Notamacropus eugenii: one gene and its partners. The protein of the gene in region 1 binds, or shares a complex with, the protein of each later gene. Links are inferred from orthologs where the notes say so. Each region holds a gene or a part of one and is shown on either strand. Other genes may lie near its edges.

Region 1 (7,047 bases):
GTGAGAGTGAGGACACCCCACTTGTGAGGTGAGGGGACTGGGAAAACAGCAATGGCTCCAACAGTAACAGCAAGTTCAAACGAGGGGAGAGATGGGGGGGAAGGAAATAAAACATATTTTGGACAGACAGAGCTTGAGATGTCTATGGGGTATTTGGTTCAAGATGTCCAAAAGGCAAGTTGGGGATGTGAGACTAGAGGTCAGACGAGTAGGAGGAAATGGGTGTGGAATTTTATCAAATATTATCAGATAGGGTCCCAGGGTGGTGGTAACTGGTTTTCCTTGTCACAGAAGAAGCTTCTTTGGGAACAGGGGAAGAAGAGGAGGGAATGAGCATTTCTGTAGTGCCTACTGTGTGCCAGGCCCTGTGCTAAGTGCTTTACAAATATCTCATTTGACCCTCACAATAACCCTGGCAGGTAGGTGCTGTTATCAACCCCATTTTACAGTTGAGGAAACTGAGGCACACAGAGGTTAAGTGACTTGTTCAGGGTCACCCAGCTACTAAGTATCTGAGGTCAGATATGAATTCAGGTCTTCCTGACTCCAGGCACAGTCGTCTAGCCACTGCACCACTATCTGCCTAAGGTATATGGAAATAACCTCAAAAGGTATCAATAATACTTTCTGAAGAGGAAAAAGGCATCGTAGTGTAAGGCTTCTGTGTGAACTACCAGTCTGTGGCCTCTCATTTTCCATCTTAAAACACGTTCTCCAAAATATTTTTCATTGTGCCCTGCTCTGCACACCTCTGCTTTAAAGCCCTTGACTGCTGATTCCCTTTGGAGGGGCTTTCTAAGTTCTCCTGAGAATGTACTCTCTTTCCCATCCTGTTCACTGCCAGATCCTCCACAGGGGGAATGCATATCAAAAGCACTGATGGAGCAAAGGATTAACTGCCCTTTGATGCTTCTGGTTGCCTTTGGCAGCTCCTTCTTTTGCCAGCTGTCACCCCAGGCCCAGTTCCAACTCTCACTTGTCTTCTGGTCTCACTGAGAGTGAGCAGGTGAAGACTGGCAAGGTTCCTTTCTTCCAGAACAATGTCCTCTCCCTCAATGGTCACAGGACAAGGTGTTTAAAACCACCACCAGCTAAGTGAATGACTACAGATAGTCTAACACTGTGACTTTGTCTGCCCCCTTTTCCGCCACTGTCACTAACACCACCAGATGCCAAAGGGGACCCCACAAGGCCAGGGGCTCCTGGACGTTTTCCTGCCAGACTGTGAGTTCTACCAGGGTCTCATCTGGACTCCATATCTCCCCCAGCACCTAAGCCAGATCTCAGATTCACAAATCTTCGGGAAAGGAAGAAGACTGCATGACTACTGATGAATGGAAACTGAGAAAAAGTCCAGAGCACAGCATCTTCCTATTCAAAGGCTGAAGACTCCATATTAGTAACATCTGGAGGGACCTAAGAGGCCAAAGACCTATAAGTATCAACTTTTAAGATGCTCAACAACCCAGAGAATCAGCCTAGCAACGTTTCTGTTTACAGGATTGTGTCTCAGAGAAGTCCCACGGTAGGTCTCCACTCTACACCAAAAACACCCCTGAACCTTTAAATTGCACATTCCAGGCCACTCTGGAAACTTGGTTGTGAGCACCCCCTGGTGGTAGGCTATGGGACCCAAACCATATCAACTCCTGTTACTCTGCATGGGGTCGCCTCTCCCAAAGACAGACTGTGATGCTGTTACTGAGGATCTGGACTATGCTCTTGCCTCCTCCTGAAAGAACAGGGAATGAGCTCCTACTTCATGATGAGTGACACATCCATTGCCCCCCACAAGCCCTCTGCTCCAGAGAAACCAGAACAGAACTTGCTACCTCCCTTCCCCCTATTCTCCAGCCCATCCCCCTGCTCTAGAACATAGTCCCCCATTCTCCTGACCTGATATAGCCTCCCCACCTTCTCAACAAATCCAGCCCACCCTTCAATTCCCAACTCACACCTTACTACCTCCTCTAGGAAGACTTCTCTGATTCTTCCGGCTCCCAACCATCCCTCTCTCTTTCAAATAATCTGTCCTAAAATGTTTGACCCCCAAAATAAATTCTCTTTCACTCTCCTACATACGTTTAGGCTAATTTCTCACAATACCAACTGTGTCTCTCCTGAGGGATGGAGAATTCCTTTTTACCATGAACCAAAGGAAAATATTCAGAAAGAGAACCTGCTGCCTATAACACTGCCCACTCAAGAAAAGCATCCATGGGACTCTGTGTAACTGTACCACACATGGCTCCTCCATCCCACCCCCCATCAGTGGGCATGGCAAAGTGCTCGGTTCATACTGATATGAATCATACTGATGGGAACAGAGCACAAAATAAAGAGCTAAGCTGTGATTGATGTATTCTCTTACAGAGAATATTACAGCTTTTAAGTTCATCACCATAACATTTTGTTGACCTGATGGTATTTTCACCAGAAAAACTTTTTTTTTTTTAAATCAAACTTGCTTCTTTTAACTTACCCAAGGGAGTGACTTTAATCTCTGGCATCTTGAGTGGCCAAGTTCTCAGTACTTCATCAGGCTAGATCCAAGACACCATAGAGCAGTACCTACAAAGCACGGGTTTTTGAGATCACACAGGTACCGTTGGTCTGGAAGTCATAATTTCTAAAAGGAAATGGGCCAACCCAGAAGGCTGTAACTTTTTACAGTGATTATGAATAGGTGGTGAAAAAGGGACACCACCATCCCTAAAACTGGGCAAGGTTTCCTCAGCTCTGGTTACTGGCTCTACGCCAAAGCAGTGGTGGTCTAAGTCTTACCCTACTGTGACACAACAGTATACTAGACAGAGGTCTCTGGGGGGGGAGAGCATGCTAGGAAACTAAGGTGATAATGACACTCTCACTGTCTTAATCTGGACTTGGGTCAGGAGGCCTGAGTTCTAGATTCTAAATCACATGACCCTTCTTCACCTGTAAAATGGGATCATCAAAATTGTACTGCACAGCTACCTTGGAGAATTTATAGAGGGAAGGAACCTTAGAAATTATCTAGCCCACACCCCTTCATTTTAGAGAAGGGGAAATTAAGGGCCGTGGGAGTTAAATAACTCACCCACAGTCACACAGATAAGCAGTAACAGAGCACAAGCCTTCTGAGTCTGGCATAGGCTGGACCAGATGACTTCTAGAGACCCTTCCAACTCTTAGAACCTAATTCCAAATCCAGTGTTCTTACCTATACATTACACTGCCTCTTTACATGGCTGTTGTAAGGGAAGCATTTTGTAAACTGTTGGAGCTACAAGTGTTTTTCTGCTTCCAAAATCAATTTGTAAAAAAATTGAATAGCCATCCCTTAGCCCAGTTGCTCCTGCCAGGCTGTGGCTTAGGAGTATCAGCTGCAAAAGCTACTTCCCAATCCTACATAAAGTAAGGTGGTATTATACAAAGCACAAGATTGGAGGCAAGGGGCCCAGGTGTGAATCTTGGCTCTGCTACTTAGCACTTGTGTGACTCCAGGCAAGTCGTTCTCTGAGCCAGGAGATGGGTCTCTAATCCCTGCGCTGACCCTGACCCCTGACCCCTGACCTGGAGCAAGTTCCACAATCTCTCGGGGACTCAGTTTCCCCTCTTGTAAAGTGGGGCAAGAAGACGAGGAGAGGCGAGCCCGTCTAAGGTCCCTTCTAGCCCCCGAAGGGCCTCCCCCTGGGCTCCCCTGCATCCCCACACCGTGAGCCCAGGCCGGCTCTGTCGGGAGACCCCAAGGCCGAGCGCGGGCTCCCCGTCCAGGAGGCGCCCCACCCCCAAACCCAGCCCTGCGGGGCAGCTGCTCGCCCGCGGTGACGTCACTCGCCCGCATCCCGGCGGACGCGCTCACGGCCGCCCACCCGAGGGGGGCCGGTCCTGAGCAGCAGGCCGCTGGGAGAAGCGGGCAGGTTGAAGAGGGAGACTCCCAGACTCCCTCGAAGGTCGGCAGGGCCCCCGCTGCTTCCCTCTCCCCACCTCAGCCCTCCACGAGGCAAGCCGCGCAGGCTTCCGTACTCCCAGCCAGTCCCGAGGCACTGCGCCTGCGCGGGGGGCGGGGCCAGCGGCGAGGGCCGGAAGGCACCCCGCAGGCGCAACCCCGGCAGCCTATGAGCGGCCTTCCTGCGCCCGGGACCTGCCCTCCTGGGCCGGCCCTCCCTGCCGGCCTTCCATTGGATTCTGTCCCAGTCAATCAAGCAGGGGCCAGGACTGGGGGGCGGGTCTTGGCTGTGATTGGAGGGGACTGAAGACAGGCCCCCAAGAATCTGCATTCAATGGTAACGCCGGTGAGTAAGGTGCAGGTGAGGGCGAAGGGGTGGGCCCGGGGGGGCCGGGGATCGGGGAGCTGTAAACGGACGTCGGGGGTGCTGGGGCGTGGGATGGGGGCGGTGGGGTCAAGGGTCATGAGTACGCCCTGGGGTCCCCCGGCGCTGCGGGGGAGGGGACCCCGGTGTCCGGGTCACGGTCCGGGGGCACCCGGGGCTCGGGTCCTGCCCTGACCGCCCCCCCCCCCCCCGCCTCACTCTCTGCGGGACCTCCGGGCCTCAGTTTCCCCATCTGTCAAATAGAGCGGGTGGGACTCCTCCTTTCCTGACTTTGAAATCGAAGGGCATAGACTTTAATCTTGAGAACTGCATTTAAATTGTACTTATGCTGAATATATATTGTATATAACCTATGTATGTACCGTATATACAGTATATATGTATGTACTATATATGTGTAGATGTATTCTGTGTATGCTGATATGCCTGTATGGTTCCTTCTGTAATGTGGGTATTTTATACACAGGAGGAAGGGGTCCGTGGGCCTGATTTTCTGCTATTCTTGTGTTTTCTTTTCAAGGATGTGAGTCCAGGACCCAAAGGCAGTGACAGAAGAACCAGGAGTAAGACCCTGAGATCCCCTCCCCTTTGACCTTCCCCATCTGACCCAGGTATGTATGGCACTGCTGTATCGCTGTGGTTGGGTTGGATTCCTTCCGTGGGGGGGACAGGGGGACTTTCTCCAGGTTGCTCTGTGCTGAGTCAGACTCTGAAATTTATTTTTGCCTGTGGTAAGTGTTCAATAGACACGCTAGATGAGTGGAATGGGAGCCGGGGCCAGCATGCTGAACCCCGGACCGCTGCCGTCTAAGAGCCTTCGGTTCTGCCAAAAGTAGAACTCCTTGGAGAGTGTTGAGACTCTTTGTTTCTTTGGCTGCTCTTACTCAATCCCTCCCCGCCCCCTTCCTTCTTCCTGCTCCAATCTTCATCTCTGACCTTGAAGCTCTGATAAATAGTTTATGGCAGAGTATAAACATAGCAGAGTCAGAGTGATGTCTGATGGGAGTACTGGCCTTACTTTGAGAAGTTGAGCAGGCCCATCCATCCTCAGTTTGTAACCTCAGCTGTTCAGCCTGCTCAAAACAGTTTAGTTTCCTCTTTTCTCAGTATTATATAGCAGACTGTGGGGCCCAAAATGATTAAAAAGTCCTAACAGCAATTTCCTGCTTGCTGCTGGTTTCATTCTGTGTCATGAGAAAGCACAGGGCTATTTAAACAACAAATTGATATGTCGTTGACCGATAGACCATCTGAGCTGGAAGAGACTTTAGTTAATAGAATGTCAGAGTTGGAAGTTACCTTAACGGAACATCTCATGCCACTCTTTCACTTTACAAATAAGGAAACTGAGATCCAGAGGGAGGAAGCAATCAACAACTAAGAACAAATGAGGTATCCTAACTCCTAGAATCATGATCTTCCATTGGCCACCCTCAGTCGTCTTCAAATCCTGGGGTCCTCAACTCTTCAATCCCCATTCCTAAATCTGATCCCATTGTTGATTTTAATCATTCGGGCAGCCATTGAGGGTCATACTAAGTGCCAGCTCTGGGTTCAGGACCACACTGGGTGCACAGGGGCATACAAAAATATAAGATGCCATCTTCCTTTAAAGAGCCCCTAGTCTGGGGACATGAGAGCCACCCACAGCCAACAACCTGGAATGTTGTAAGCAGATCTTAGATCTGTGGAAGGCTTACAGCCATAGCATGGATGGTAGCCTCCCTCCTCTCCTTCCTGCCTTCACTCATCTGAATAATTCTATTCTGTCTCCTGCTTTGCCTGGGAAATCGGCTTGGGGTCCAGGATGGAAATATGGGACAGATAAAGAATCCAGGGCCTGGGAGATTCCAGGGTAGAACCCACCTTCCAAGTTAGCCTCTCCCATCTCAAACCTGTCCAGTCACTGACTACTGGCAGATGTGTAGACTCAGTGAGTAGGCTGTGTTTGCCAAGGTTTCTTGGGAGCCCAACTCTGCTAGAATAGGGCATTTCTATCCTGCAGCAACTTGGGTGAGTAGGAGCAAGTGTTAAGAAAGACACCCCATTACATCAGGTCTGTCATCCCAGCTGGTCCTCCAAAGCAGACACGCACCACCTGATTCTCTGGGGACCTTCTGTGTGTTTCAGGTTGTGGTGGACTATGGCTGACGAACAGGCCGAATTTAACCTGAAGGTCGTGCTGGTTGGTTTTAAGCAATGCCTCAATGAGAATGAGGAGGTCCTCATGGACCCTTATATTACCAGTTGGAAAGGGCTTGTCAGGTGAGTGTGCAGGGGCCACTCTGTGGATCCCCAGGAGGGTTCCTACATGATACATCAGGCCTGGAGTCAGGAAGACATGAGTTCAAATGCAGCCTCAGGCACTTACTCTGGCTGTGTGATCATGGACAACTCACTTAATCTGTGTGCCTCTGTTTCCTCATCTGCAGAATGGGTATAGTAATAGCACCTACCTCCCAAAGTTGTTGGGTGGAACAGATGAAATGATCATTGTCAAGTGCTTAGTCCTGTGCCAGGCACAATGTTATAGAAATGTGAGCTCACGTCATCCTCATCGATGTTATCATCACCATGACCATTATTCTCCCTTTTATTTGAGGAGAGTGCACATGAATGTCCAGCAACTTGTGGGAGAGGGCGGGACCAGACATTGTGGAAGGGCAGGCTGTGCTGGAGCAGCAGACAACTTGTGTGTGAGGAGGCCCTGAGCACATGGAGGGGGGGATCT
Region 2 (7,047 bases), on another chromosome or scaffold:
GGTGTTGGGGATGAAGGCACGAAAATAACATAGTCTCTGCCTTCAAAAAGTTTTCGTTCTATTTAGGATATGCCAGAGGACTATAGATTTAGGGTTGGAAAGAAATCATCTAGTTTAACCCCTCATTTTACATGAGGAAAGTGAGGACCCAGAAAAGTTAATCAATTTCCCAAAGGTCACCCAGATTACAAATGATTCAGGATCTGGACTCTGGTTCTTGGGCTTCAAATTCCACAGTGTCTTTACTAGCTAGCACCATATCTGCTTTTTATAAATTGCAGAAAACATGTTGATGTGCATTGGTAAAAGGATTTCCTCACCTGGTAAAATCCCTGCACAATCAAAAAATGGGTCTGATCCCTATTCCTTTCGAGATTTACATAACATTTTAAAAAATACTTTTCTATCCATACCCCAGAGTTGAACGATAATATTACTGTGATGACTTAGTAGCTTTGTAGATCATTATGTCACATTAAAATACAAAGATCCACAAACAAGCAGACAGTTATAAAAATTAGGTGTGATCTTCCTAGAGGACAAGATGGAGAGATAATGTTATGGAATCAGTGAACATAAGCTTTAACAGATTTTTGGGAGATAGAGGAGGATAGAAGGGTCTGTTCATGGAGTCAAGAAGAGTGAGACACAACTGAACAAGTCTCCTCAAATCATATTTCAGAGTGATCTATTTAGTACAAGTCATTACATTTCCATTAAGTTATGAAGGCACAGCCAGTGCAAGCAGACTTAAACCCATTCAACTACTGGGCTGAAAAAAATACTTTGGTTGATTCTCCAGAAGGATTTCTTTTTTTCAAATAAATATTGATCTCAATGAACAGTTCTGAAAATTTCCACAGCTGCAGTCTAATATGTGATAAAAAAAAAAGACTTCATAAGAACTAAACCGTGAAGCAATGAATAAAAGCACTGTCTTCATAAATCAGATGAGGGAGGAAGAGAAACAGGTATTATGATTATTTTACAGGTGAGAAAACTGAGGTTAAGTGGATTACTCATGATCACCTAAGTGTTGCAGTCGAGATTCCGATAAATCTACTGCCTTCAAGACTAAGACATCTGTGCTCAGCCCTGTTTAATATTTTTTTATCAATGAATTTAAAGACATAGAAGACATGAGATGCTCATCAAATCTGCAGCTGATCTCAAACAAGAAGGGATACCTAATACACTGGATTACAGAGCCACAACCCCAAAGGATTTTGCCAGACTAGAACTAGGATGAATCCAATAAAAATGAAACTCATTAAGGATGAATGTAAAGTCTTACACTTGTGTACAAAAAAAAAGCCAGATTTATAAGTATAAGATGGAAAGGACATGGTTAGATAGCAGTTCTGAAAAAGATGTGGCGGCTCCAGTGGATTCCTAGCTCAATATAAGTTATCAAGGTGCTAATCTGAAACTACATGAAGAGGCACATAGCTTCTAGGAATAGGGAGGGGACAGTTGCATTTGTGTCCTCTCTTTCCTAATCAGACATTATTTGCAGTATTGCATTCAGTACTGAATACTATGGTTTAAGAAGGACGTTCAGTTGGACAGAGAACTTGCATTCTGATCCCTCTCTGTCACATACTTGTTGTGTGACCTAGGGCAAGTCGTTTCAATTTTGGGTGGGCCTCAGCTGTCTCATCTATAAAATGGAGGAGTTGAATTAGATGGTGCATGAGCTCCAAATTCCTTCCAACTCTAAATCTATGATCTTAGGAGGATCAGTTGAAGGCCTGGGGATGTTTACCCTGGAGAAGAAGAAGAGGGCGGGACATATTAGCTACTGCTTAGGTTTATGAAGGGCTGCCTAATGTGGAAGGCAGAAGTGATGCTCTTTGTGAGAGAGATCAGACTTGCTGTGTCTGGCCCCAAAGGTCAGAATGGAGGGAAGTTTCAGAGGCTTGATGTCAGAAGAAATTTCCCAACAATTGGCTCTTTCTACAAGTGGAATAGGCCCTCCCTCCCCCTCCCCCCAACTTATAGGACCCCTATCCTTGGAGGTCTTTCAGCAGAAGTGATACTGGGCACAGCGTTCCTGTATGGGGTAGACCAGAAGACCCCAACTCGCAAACTCCCGCAAATCTGTGCCAGTAGGCCCAACACCCTTTCCACTACACCACAAAAAACAACTGCCTGGCTCATTTTTATTTCTGATAGGGCGTTAGATTCTCTCCTCTCTAAGGTCCCTTACAGCTTTAAATGGTATGACCGCTGAACTTTGCCCGGTTCTTCCCCTTCACAATTGAAGGATTCCGTTTTTCACATGCTTTCCTAGACAGACAAAGCCCCGCCCCTTTACGTGACCCCGCCCACTTCCTAAGACGTCGTCCCGCCTACTGCGCGCAGCCTCGGCATCGGCACCAACTATTAAGTGCGCAAACAGGGGAATCTGGTGAAACGCCTCTCTTTTTGTGTGCCATTTTGCAGAACTCTGAACAGGATCAGTTCTACCAGAAAGATGGAAGAGATTTTTTCACGAGCTATTCCTTTAAAATCTGGATGCGTTTGCTCAAGGACGAAGTTTCTTTCTGCCCCTATCTCCCCCCCGCCGCTCTCTGAGGTGGTCTGAGCCGGAGGACCGAGCGCGAGGGAAGGGGCGGGGCGAGGCGGCGCCGACGGAGCGGAGCGTAGCCGAGCTGGTGAGGGTCTCGGGGAGGGGGGGCTCAGCTCTCGGAAGGCCGGGTGGCGCTTCCCGCTCCCCATTCTATCTTCTCACCTTCTCGGGAGCGGTGGGGTGGGGGGAGCCCGTCTAGGAGCAGCTCTGTGGGGCCTCATCCCTGTGCGGGATGGGGGGGGGGGGTCTCTCCCAACCCCCCACTAGGCGAGGCAGCGATCGGGAGGAGCCCTGCTCGAGGGCGGCTCGATCTCGGGGTGGCCTCCAACCTGGCCCGCCCCCCTGCTATGCCCCCCCGAGCTTGAGACCGTCGCCCCCTCCCCTCCCCCTATTCGGAGACCTCTTTAAGACCTGGGTGGGTCTCGTGCTCGAGGCCAAACGGGCCATCGGAACCCCAGCCGCAGTGTGCCCCTGGCCCTTTCGCACGCTTGACCCTGATACGTGCCCCCTACACATCCCCCTGAAACGGGGCGCCCAGATAGACCCCCACGAAACCTGCTGCTTAACGAGGGGGGGAGATAGTCTAGGGGCCTCCCTGTAACCTTCACTTAACTGCCCAGAGCCTCAGTTTCCCTGTCTTTAAAATGAAGGGATAGACCACGAGCGTGTGAGTTTTCTTCCCACCCCTGCCGGGGATCCGGGACCCCCTGAAACACACAGCTTGAAATCAGCTTCTTGTTTCCTCCCCACACTTCCGCCTCCTTCCTCCAAAAAAAGGAAAATAAACACGGGACCAGAGGAAGGACTACAGCCCTTACAGAGCCAGCCAAGGAGGTCTCCGTGCCCTCCCCCAGCTCGGCCCGGGATCTCTTCTGGATCTCACTTTTGTGCGATCCTGAGGAACGACCTGTTTAGGATTTCGAACCAGCAGGTATTTATTTAAGAGTCTCCCGTGGGCCATGCACTGTGCCAGGCCCTCAGGACGCAAAGACCACGGCTGGCCAGCCCTGCTCTACTAGCGAAGGGGGCAAGGTTCACACCCCCAGGGCTCTGGCCAGGGACTGGTTAATGCCTCTGGCTCCTTCCCCAATCTGGATTACTTGAAGAAATCAGAGATGAGGTCATTCCAGCCAAGTATACCAAACCCTGTCACTGGATGGGAACCACCAGCACCTGGGTTCCTGCTGTGACTGCACTCGGCCTTGAATATTGGGTCTAAGTGGTGTTTTTTTTCACATTTCATTACCAGGACCCACTGGATTCACTATGGACATTGAATGTTCGCGGCTCCTACCTTCTGTCTGTGCAGTTTTGGTAGACCCAAAGCAGTTTGTAGCTGATGATACCTGTTTGGAAAAACTACTAGACTGGTTTAAGACAGTAACTGAAGCAGGTAATTGTGGTAGTGTTTGCTCCCTGTTTACCCATAGGCTGGTGGATGTTTTTAGAGAATTATGACATGGTACATGATGACTCAACAGTGCTCCACATGTCTAAATAAATGGATGTGCTGCCCACCATACTTTACAACAGGTTCTAAGAGAAAGAAGACAAGTTGGATTATGGGGGAGTTATTAGGGTGGTTTGTATTTTAAATTCTAATTTTAATTAAGGTTTGAGAGAATCTTCAGATTATGGTAGATGAGTGTTATGAATATGGATAGGCTCTTTAGAAGGGCAAGGATGAAAACTTCTTGAGGGAAATGGGTACCTTGATACCAGAAAGGGATACAGAATGGTTTCCCGACAGGTGACGGAAGAATCATCCTTTTTTGATGCTTGTGTATTCCACAGAATCTAGTCTGCTGGTATTACAGGAGAATCCTTGCCTGACAGAACTGCTCTTTCATGTGCTGAAGCTACAGGATGTGAATTCCAATATCCTTTCCTTTGCTCTACGTCTTGCAGGAATATTTGCAGCCCACGAAAACAGCTTTCAGTATCTCCAGGTGAGTTTAGGGGTGACTTCTTGGATGCTGTAGCTTGTAAAATTAGACTTGGCTGATAGGTTGTTGTAGTTATATGAGGTTTTACTAACATGCATACATATACATACACGTGTACCTTATACTTGTATATTATATGTACACACTTGACTGAATCCATTCTCTCATTTGGATGGGTACATCTTCCATTGATACAGATTTCAATCCTTCTATGTCTTTTCACTCTATGTAATTCTTGTGCATATCTTTTTGTTTCTCTGTAAATTCTCCAGCAGAGATCCGCTAAAACCACTGGTGGCCCGCCTCTAGTTTTTATATTTCTTAAATTGACTAAAGCAGTGTTCTGGCCTTTCACTTAAGATATGTGCCTTCATATATTTTCTGATCTGCTACTTGACTAAAGAAGCAGGATGTAGTTTTATAGCTTACAACTGTACTCAGACTTTTGGGACACCCTGAAGATGCATATACACACAAGACACATGCATATGTGCACTCTTGTACATATGCATGCATACATATACAATTCAAAGAAGTCTTTATTTGTAACTATTTTTATGTATCTTTTATATTAGAGTGAGATTTTGTGTGAAACTTAGTGCCATAGCTGGGTTCAGTATAAATTGTCTTAGAGGTATGGTTTAAAACTTGCATTCTTCAAAAGTTAATTGATTCTGTTTTGTATAAAACTTGTTGTGTGGTTAGAGGGTCAGCTTTGAAGCCAGGAAGACTTGAGGAACTTATCTGCATCAAGTCCTGTCTTTGACTCATACTTAATACATGACTCTGGGAAAGTTAAAACTCAGATGAGGTGCCAGCCTGCATTAGTAGAGGGAGTTTTCTCTTTGGGAATTCAGTATTCCAATGAAATTATAACTTGGTCCCTATTCCTATGTCCAGAGAATGGCAAGGTCATTAGAGATTGGTTTATAGGTAACTGCACTGGCATTCACAAAATATTTTAAGAATAAGAGAAAGCCTTCCAGTGCTTTATATAGATACTTTATAAATAATTTACAAAAAGACATTACTAAAATTTGGTTCCTAGACCTACCTAGAGGTAGATCAGGAAAATGCTATGAAGATTTTTATTGAAGCTCCTTCCTAGTAAAAAATAGAGAGATGGAAGCTCGATGGTGGTACAGACCAGTGGGTGGATTTGGACTTGGATACATGTCTGTACCCAAAAAGGAGTCATCATTGGTTCCATATCAACATGGAGGGAGTTCTCCAGTGGAGTGTACTGGAAACCTATGTGCTATTTAACGTTCTTGCCAGTGAATTAGATAAAAGCATAGGTGACATGTGTATCATGCAAGTTAATAACTAGCAAGCCTGGAATTAAAACAGAAAAACAAAAAATAAACCTAAAGCCTTTTCCCCTAAAGCACACTTCCGCCATGGCCTAGCAGTCCTGCTGTGTCCATTCACAGAATCACGGCCTTGGGAGGGATTCAGAGCCTATTTAATCTAAGCTATAACTGAACAAGAGCTCCCTCTACATCAAAAACAACAAAGTTTAAGATGACACAAAGCTGGGAGAGATGGCTAATAGTAGATGACCGAGTCAGGATTTAAAAATATTTTAACAGGCCAGAATAGTGGGTCATATCAGATGGGATGAAATATAGAAATACATGGTAAAGTCTTACCCTGGGATTCAGAAAGTCATCTTCATCAGCATAAGGTTGAGAAGTGGTGGTTAGATAGCAGTTCATTTGAAAAGAGTTTTGGCATTTTTAGTGGATTGCAAGATCTGTATAAATCAGTAATGGTATATGGCAGCCAAGGAATTTAATAAGTCTTAGACTGTATTAAGAGACAAAGTATCCTGGACTAGGGAGATAGTGAACTCTGGGTTAGACCACATCTATAATATTGTCTTAAATTGTGGGGGCCACATGGTAGGAAGGACACCCAAAAGTTAGAGATTGATGAGAGTGAACCATTCAGGAGAGTGAAGGGCTTTGAGATATGCCACATGAGAGTCAGTTAAAAAGACTAATGATGTTTAATTTGGAGATGAGAAGGCTTGAGGGGCCTATATGATAGCTCTGTCCAAGTATTTGAAGGACTGGCATATATAAGAGGGATTAGACTTTGTGGCCCTAGATGGTAGAACTAGAAGCAAAGGATGAATACTTCAGAGAGACATAAAAATTTAAACTTGATGATAAAGTAAAACTTCTTCAGTTACCCAAAAGTGAAATGGCCTGCTTTAGAAGGTGATATGGGGGGTCCTTCACTCAAAGTCTTTAAGCAAAATCCTGAACGCCAGTTTGTTGTTTTTGATGTAGAGGGAGCTCTTGTTCAACTATGGACTGGATTAGATAGGCTCTGAATCCCTTCCAAGGCCATGATTCTGTGAATGGACACAGCAGGGCTGCTAGACCATGGCGGGAGTGTGCTTTAGGGGAAAAGGCTTTAGGTTTGTTTTTTGTTTTTCTGTTTTAATCCCAGGCTTGCTAGTTATTAACTCGTACGAATTTTGGGCAAGTAAATTCAATTTGAGCCTTAGTTTCCTTATAG
Region 3 (7,047 bases), on another chromosome or scaffold:
GACCAGAAGCATAATCTCCAGGCCACTGCTCTTTCCATCATATTAGCTTCTCTAAAAAAGTAAAAACCCATATGCACAATAAAATCACCAAAGTGGAATTTGAACATGATCAAGAAAATCTCTTAATCTACAAAATAAGCTGGTCAGATAAACCTTGCTATAAATGTTTTCTTAATCCTTGTCTCCAATAGCCTACCATGGCTCTCTTTTCTGCTCCTTAGGTCCATCTTTTGTAGTCTTTCATTCCCTTCTGTCCTGCGTTCATTCTCTAAGGCACATCCAAATTCTATTAAATCAATGAAAAAAAGGATGTGTGTGTCTGTGTGTGTGTCTATGTGTGTGAGGGCAACCTTTGTTGTTGTTTTGACTAAGGCTCTAGTTTTTATCAATGGTCCTGGTTTTCTACTGTTCTGGGGGTGCATAGGGAAAGGAGTAACAAAAGAGAGAGGGGAGGTACACAGACATCCCATCATTTCTTCAAGCTCTACTCTGACAAGAATCATGCTGTTACCCCCTGTCCCTTCCCTTCTTTGGGTACAGAGGTGGGGAATTATAAGCTCTGAATGTTGTATATGTTGTCAAAAGTGCCAGGTGGTTTTGCTTAACTGGCTTTTTGTTTTGTTTTGTTTGTTTCAAGGATAGGGTCATATCTAGAAATGACTGATATAAAAAACCAAAATGAACCAATAAACCACTTTTAAAAGAATTATCAGGGGCACAGAGCTGATTTATACCTGGTCTCTGGAATATGCTTCAGGTTGTAGACAGGCTTGTCTGAAAATCCCCCATGTTTCATCCTGAAATCTCTTTCGGGACATAAGCCCTAAAACACAAATAAAAAGTCAATTAACTACTCCCTAACTTTTGGATGCTCCTTACAGATGAGTTCCATGACATCAATAAGTTCACACAAATAAGGAGAAGGTGCATATCTGGAGAAAGATTACTGCTACTTTACTACCTGCCTTTTCCCCAAGATGTCATACCAGAAGTTTCTGCAAACCCTTATGTATCAGATTAAGACACTCAATAAAAAGTTAGAAGTGGGGAGGGTTATGGCTAGAAGGTGGTCAGTATAATAGATAAAGACAGCTAGAGGAGTTAAGGGTCAGGGAACCCAGGGGGGCAAGGCCTGATTTTGTGACCTCATCACACATTGAGAAATAGAACCCAGCTCAGGATTTCAGAAGTCAAAGAGAGCTAAGAGAGTTGCCCAGGTGAGAGTAAATAGCTAATTAGTACAAAAACTTTCTCCAAGGTCTCAAGTACACAGTAATTTGTACTGCTTGCCTCCATTGTCCTCGAAAAAGAACACATCAAGAGAGTTCTTTGTTTCACATCCAACTAAATCTTTTCCCTAGCCCTTTCTGCTACAGTATGAACGTTATATTCCAAATCCCTCTCTTGATAGCCATGAAGAATTAGTGAGCTACTTGCTGTTATCACAGAAAAATGGTACTTATAGGCAAGCTATAACCAGCTCTACCTTATCCATATCAACATAAAAGCTCACAACCCAACCTAGGCTGGAAGATTTGGGGACGATCCATAATGTGATCTGTTACTTGGGAATCAATCAATAGAAACTGAAAAGTACAGTCTCTGACCTCAAAGAACTCACATTCTAATGTGGGACCCAACGTGCAAACAAGTATGTACATACAAGATCTATCTATCTGTCTGTCTATAGAGAAAGAGATAGGGAAACAGATAGTGGAGACAGACAGAGAGAGATGGGAGAAGAGAGATGTAATTTCAGAGGGAATACATTAACACTGAGTGGGAAGGAGAAGGGACAAAGGAGTAATAAGAAAGAAAATCTTGCAAAAGAAGATGGGGTTTAAGCTGAATCATGAAGGAACCCCAAAATTGGAAATAGAGAGGGGGAACATTCCAGGCATAGGGGACAGGTAGTAAAAAGGCACAGAACCAGGGGATGGAGAGTCACATATAAGAAATAGCAGTATGGTCACTGTCATTGGATCACAGAATGTATGGATGAGACTAATCATTTCAGAGTGTTGCTGCTGCTTGTTCCAGTTGTCTAGAATTAGAGTTGCCTTCCCTATTACTGAAAAGGTAAAATATACACTCATCAGTACTATCCTTGAGTCCCTAACTCTGTATTTCCCAAAGTTAGAGGGAAAGCAACTGGTTAACTGGATAAAAACACAGTTATACCCCATTCTCCCCACAAGGTGGGTTCTTCCAAGATGGGAACAAGAGATATGTGAGAATGCAATGAGGAAGAAAATCTGGGTCTGCAGGTCCAGTTAGGAAGGATTTCATTATTAGGCCTAGACTGGGATGATGAATGGACATCTAGGACAGGATAGATGGAATCTGGGAATAGATATGCCCCAGGACTTCAGATACACTTAATGACCATCCCTACTCACATCCATATTCATTTCCTGCCTCCTTGCTCCAATTTTCACCCTAGAGCCTTTGGCTCCTAAGTAGAGAGAGAACCTTATCTCTAGGCTGGACCCAACCCTGACTCTCCAATATCTTCATGCTTTATGACCCTTCTTTCCCACCTTCCCACCTTCTACTTCAAGCTCTTGTAAAGACTTTCAATTAATTCCCTATAGCTCCATTCATCATCCTTTCAATTTCCCAGACCAAAATATCTCTCCCCTATATTAAGTGTTGTCTTCCCCAATTAGAATGTAAGCTACTTAACAGCAGAGACTCATCAAGCTTTTTATATTAGCATTTAGCAGAGTGCCCAGGACACACAATAAATCACTTAATAAAGACTTTTTCATTCATTCAGGCCCTAAAGGCTGCCTTCTACTTCTACAATCATTTGGAGATGAAGGAGCAGTTTGACTTCCAACATACCTGGTTTTCAGCACAGAGTTTGGGGGGTAAAAGAAGATGCAGCACTTCATTTCTTTTCTGACTTTCACAGCCCGCAACATAGACTCCTAGAAGGAACAAAGAATGTCAGCAAACATATCTTTTAGACCAAAGTTAAACACAGAAACAACCTCCACACCCTAAAACTTCTGAGCAGGGGCAGCCACTGCATCCTAACGTTACCCAGCAAGAAACACAGCAGCCAGAAAACACCACTGTCATAAAAGCGTGGCATGAAACTGCTTCTGGGACGTGCCAACGACCTGGGAACCGGGTCTGCAGAGCCTCTGTCCCAGCTGGCAACAGCACCCACCGGGTTCTTTGGGAGGGTCCCTGGGGGTAGGATCACCTTGGTTATCAGTCCACTCCAGGACTCGGGTGGGGCCCGGCAGCTCAAACGCATGGAGATCTCGGTACCTACGTGGAAACAAACAGAGCACGAGGCCGTCGGGCGAGCTGGGCGCGCTCACGCGCCGCCTGCCCTCTCTCAGCTCCGGGCCCAACAAGGCCCTCTGGGCCGCTTGGGGGGCGCTTACGAACCTCCCGTATGAATAAGCACGAACCACGGGGTTTCCGGGGTCACTGTGCGCTTTGCGCCCTCGCGCCGTCGCTAACCTCCCGTCACCAGCGCCCACGTTCCATTTCAGGGCCACCGGGCAGATGGGGAGGTGGAGACTGGGAGCGGTGACTGGGGGAGGGGTCGGATCACGGACGCGAGGCCGGGGCTGCCGGGCCTGTCGGCGCACGCGGAGGGAAGGCGGCCGGAGTCCGCCCGCTCCCGCCGGACTCCCCTGGGGCCTCTCGGCCGGCCCCCGGACGCCGCGGGCCTACCCTCCCGCCCCGCTCCGCCCGCTGCCCGGCCCGGCTTACAAGCGCAGAGAGTCCACGAGCCAGTCTGCAGCCTCCTCCATGCCGCCAGCAGCCTCCGCCAGCTCCCGGCACGCACACGGGCACGCACACGGGCACGCCGCTGGCGCAGGGGAGACGTCAGGGCGTGGGCGGGGCCTCCCTCGGCCCCGGGCCCCGCGCCCCAGGGCGTGGTGAACGGGAGCGACGCCCACGTGGGAAGAGGAGGCGAGGTCCGGGAGGCCAATGGGTGTGGCCTCCAGGGGGCCCTCCCCCGGAGGGGGAGGAGAGGGGGCGAGCCCGGCCCTCATTGGACCGCCAAGTCTGAGCATTTAGAGCATTTAGAGGTCACCTAGTGGTGCAACGCCATCTCCACTGAGGTCACAGATTTGGAAGGTGGCAGAGCCTTTGGCGCTCTTGGTTCCACATTTAGGGTTGGATCGCTTTGCCTCTGTTCTAAGACTCATAAAATCTTGGAATGTTAGAGGGACTTCAGAGTTCACCTGGTCCAACCCTCTTATTTTGCAGGTGGGGAAACTGAGGCTCAGGGAGGAGGAATATATGTGTCTCTGTGTGTGTGTGTGCGCGCGCGCACACAGTCAGTGAGGGGAAATGACTTGCTCACCTTCACACAATTTGAGGCAAAGTTAGGATGAAAAGTCTAGCCCATCGACTCCCACTGGGGCATTCCTTCTTTGCTGTCCAGTCACGTCCAACTCTTTATGACCCTGTGGAGCCACTGTCCATGGAGTTCTCTTGGCAAAGACACTGGAGAGGTTTGCCCTTTCATTTTCCAATTTTATGCTGACACTAGGTGCCAGGAGACCAGAGGACCAAAACTCTTCCTCTCCTGCCCTAGGGATGTTCCTTCTCCTATACCACAATCTTTACTTTTCTGAGGACCTATCTGTCTATGCAGACCAAGCCTGATGGCTGAGGGAAGAGTGTACTGGCCACTAAGGTCCTACAAGGGTAGGATGGAGTGTATTGGAGCATAGCAAGGTGCTTGGTACAGAGCTGACTGACTGACACCTCCCTTCATTCCTCATCATGACCACTCTGGTTGCCATGGAGCCCATAGGGCACAAGAGAGCAGCATTCTTCCACAGAGAATGTCCTAGCTGGGGAGGGTCAAAGACAGTTTCCCAACAAGCCATAGTTGTGAGGATGAAGAAGTAGGAAGTCAGTTTGTCTTTAAAAAGCCATGGCCTCATTCGGAGCCGACCTTTTCTTATCTCACACCCTCTCTTCCTCACCCCGTTGGTGAGATTCTCACAGGAATGGCTAGAAGGAGAGGCCCACACATTTTGTGCAAAGAATAAGGTTTTATTCACAATCTCAGGAAGGATGCAGGAAAAAAATATACGGAAGAGACATCATTTGTGTCTTAAAGAACAGTGATAATAGTGAGTGACCTCAGTCAAAGATTATAGTAACAATGTGGCAACAACAAAGGACAGAAATTACTCTTCATCAGACTGTGGCAGTAGCCCCAGATGGCCATTCTCTGAACTCCAGACAGCTGCATGGTCTGTGCAGTCCAAGCAATAGCCTCTGATGACTTAACTACTTCTCCAGCTGCTGAACCAGCATCCATAGGTCCTAAGAAGAGGAAAATGATATCAAGAATTGTGCCTTGGAGCACTCTACCAGTCCCACCTGTCAGTCATCAGGAGGTGATGGGGCTAGATAAATAACTCTGTAGGAGAGAATTGTGTCCCTCAAAGTAAAGAGGCTAGGCAGGGGTGGGGAATCACATGTGGCCCTCTAGGTCCTCAAGTGAGGCCCTTTGACTGAATCCAAACTTCACAGAATAAATCCCCTTGATAAAAGAATTTGTTCTGCAAAATGTGGGGTCAACAGGCCTCCCTTGAGAACCTAGAGAGCCACATGTGGCCTTGAGGCTGACGGTTCCACACTCCTGAGCTAGAGCCTTGGAGCCTTGGAAGGAGATACAGGAAAGAGATGGGACCACTTTGCTGGGAACTTTCTTCTTGAAGACTTCTTAGTTTTATCCAGAATTCTCATTTCTACAGACTGGAGAGGAGTTGAGTGCTATGTTTCTCTCCCTGCTCTTGTGAAGTGAGCAAAAGGAATGATTAAGAAGAACAGACAGCTAATCTCTATCCAATCTTCTATAGAAGGATGGACCTAGGCTGTAGATAGTCTGTGGACCATTCATGCCATAGAGCATGGCATGCAGTACAATAATGTTACCCTGCACATCCAAAATAAACCTGAGCCTCTGCTCCCCCACTCCCCATGAAGGCATTTTGGAAAGAGAGAGAGAGAGAGAGAGAGAAAGAGAGAGAGAGAGAGAGAGAGAGCACCAATGGGGAGAAAATTGAGGGAGAAGCAATTAAATGAAAGGCAATGTGAGCTGATGGAAAGAACACTGGATTCAGATGTTTCAATGTTCATAGACAGGACAGATGGGCCAGCTAAGCTGAAACAGCAAGTCACTTTGAGGGCAAGAGAGGAGGCAGTATATGCCAGGCAAATCAAACCACATACTCCTCACCTTAATCACTGTCTATCTCCCCTTAGGCCTTAGGGGTTCCCTTACGGTCACACAGATGGAGACAACCCAGGACCCTAAACCCAAGGAGCTTGGGAATTGCCCCATAAACCACCAGACCTGCTTCCAGCCCAGTGCCCTCAGTCATCATCCTGGGAAGCAACTGCTATGGAGATGTAGTATGGCTACAAAAGGTAGAAAATTAACTTACTGCTCTCCAACAGAATGTAAATACCTTGAGGGCAGGAACTGTATAATCTTTGTTTCCCCAGCATCCAAACACAGTATCTTGTACATAATAGGTACTTGATAAATTATTGTTGGATTGGATTAGAGAGAAACAACATAGCAGTGATTTGCCTGGCCAAAGGATAATGTTATTCTCCTCACCTACTCTCCAAAGCACAAAACCTCAAGAAGCACAGGCCCAGTATAGATATGGCTGTTGTAATAGGGTCAATGGGAAGTTAAGGGCTGAGAATTTCATATACAATCAAAGGTTCCAATCTTGCCTCTGCCACTAACTCATTGTGTGATCTCAAGCAAGTCACCTAAACATTCTGAGTCTCAGTTTCCTCATCTGCAAATCAAGGAGTTGGAACAGATGATCCCTATAGCTCTTTCTAGTTATAGCAGCCTATGATCTGATGACCTAGGGAAGGTGGAGGCAGTGTCTAATTCACCTTTATATTCCTCACAATGCCTAGCACAGTACTTTACACATAGTAGGTCCTTAATAATTAATTGTAGATTTGAAAAGAAATTGAATGTGTGCCAAGGAACATAAGCTGTTTGAGGGGAAAGGCTGGTTAATTTTA

The links.
Region 2: the proteins of INTS11 (region 1) and BRAT1 are in contact, whole or in part, in a cryo-EM structure (PDB 8UIB), measured with the Homo sapiens proteins. The link is inferred for Notamacropus eugenii from reciprocal best matches to the Homo sapiens genes INTS11 and BRAT1. Residues at the interface, in NP_060341.2 of Homo sapiens: Leu9, Val15, Gly16, Lys27, Met35, His36, Met37, Gly38, Phe39, Arg43, Asp47, Tyr50, Thr58, Asp59, Asp62, His70, Leu71, Asp72, His73, Asp87, Gly88, Gln97, Pro101, Ile102, Glu105, Arg108, Lys109, Val112, Asp113, Lys114; in NP_689956.2 of Homo sapiens: Asp25, Thr27, Cys28, Glu30, Lys31, Asp34, Pro117, Ser156, Ser157, Leu158, Phe159, Ser162, Lys358, Ser359, Cys366, Arg367, Arg424, Arg427, Thr465, Lys468, Lys469, Trp514, Glu515, Asp518, Ser519, Glu522, Tyr560, Ser564, Ser604, Glu605.
Region 3: the proteins of INTS11 (region 1) and WDR73 are in contact, whole or in part, in a cryo-EM structure (PDB 8R22), measured with the Homo sapiens proteins. The link is inferred for Notamacropus eugenii from reciprocal best matches to the Homo sapiens genes INTS11 and WDR73. Residues at the interface, in NP_060341.2 of Homo sapiens: Tyr206, Thr208, Thr209, Ile210, Arg211, Asp212, Ser213, Arg215, Cys216, Arg217, Glu218, Arg219, Asp220, Leu222, Lys223, Lys224, His226, Phe255, Arg258, Met259, Leu364, Val384, Glu385, Tyr386, Ser388, Lys418, Lys419, Glu421, Phe422, Gln425; in NP_116245.2 of Homo sapiens: Asp5, Asp6, Leu8, Val9, Ser11, Leu12, Tyr15, Gln16, Phe18, Tyr19, Ala20, Phe21, Asp22, Leu23, Glu50, Leu52, Arg59, Leu68, Phe69, Pro70, Glu71, Arg72, Asp73, Phe74, Lys75, Val76, Gly79, Phe81, Asp116, Ser117.

What each region holds. Positions count from the first base shown.
Region 1 is NC_092876.1:34,733,447-34,740,493, forward strand, and holds the start of INTS11 (integrator complex subunit 11), read right to left. Parts: upstream 4,055-7,047; 5' UTR 3,970-4,054; exon of another isoform or gene 3,821-3,969; intron 2,572-3,820; 5' UTR 2,511-2,571; coding exon 2,483-2,510; intron 1-2,482. Other genes in the region: CPTP (ceramide-1-phosphate transfer protein), read left to right, coding at 6,460-6,581.
Region 2 is NC_092874.1:385,585,260-385,592,306, reverse strand, and holds the start of BRAT1 (BRCA1-associated ATM activator 1), read left to right. Parts: upstream 1-2,354; 5' UTR 2,355-2,657; intron 2,658-3,348; exon of another isoform or gene 3,349-3,503; intron 3,504-3,821; 5' UTR 3,822-3,838; coding exon 3,839-3,965; intron 3,966-4,366; coding exon 4,367-4,521; intron 4,522-7,047. UniProt on the Homo sapiens protein: Component of a multiprotein complex required for the assembly of the RNA endonuclease module of the integrator complex.
Region 3 is NC_092872.1:178,256,621-178,263,667, reverse strand, and holds the start of WDR73 (WD repeat-containing protein 73), read right to left. Parts: upstream 3,886-7,047; 5' UTR 3,777-3,885; coding exon 3,736-3,776; intron 3,283-3,735; coding exon 3,215-3,282; intron 2,934-3,214; coding exon 2,848-2,933; intron 824-2,847; coding exon 735-823; intron 1-734. Other genes in the region: NMB (neuromedin-B), read right to left, coding at 5,278-5,313. UniProt on the Homo sapiens protein: Component of a multiprotein complex required for the assembly of the RNA endonuclease module of the integrator complex. Associates with INTS9 and INTS11 in the cytoplasm, stabilizing the INTS9-INTS11 heterodimer and blocking the active site of INTS11.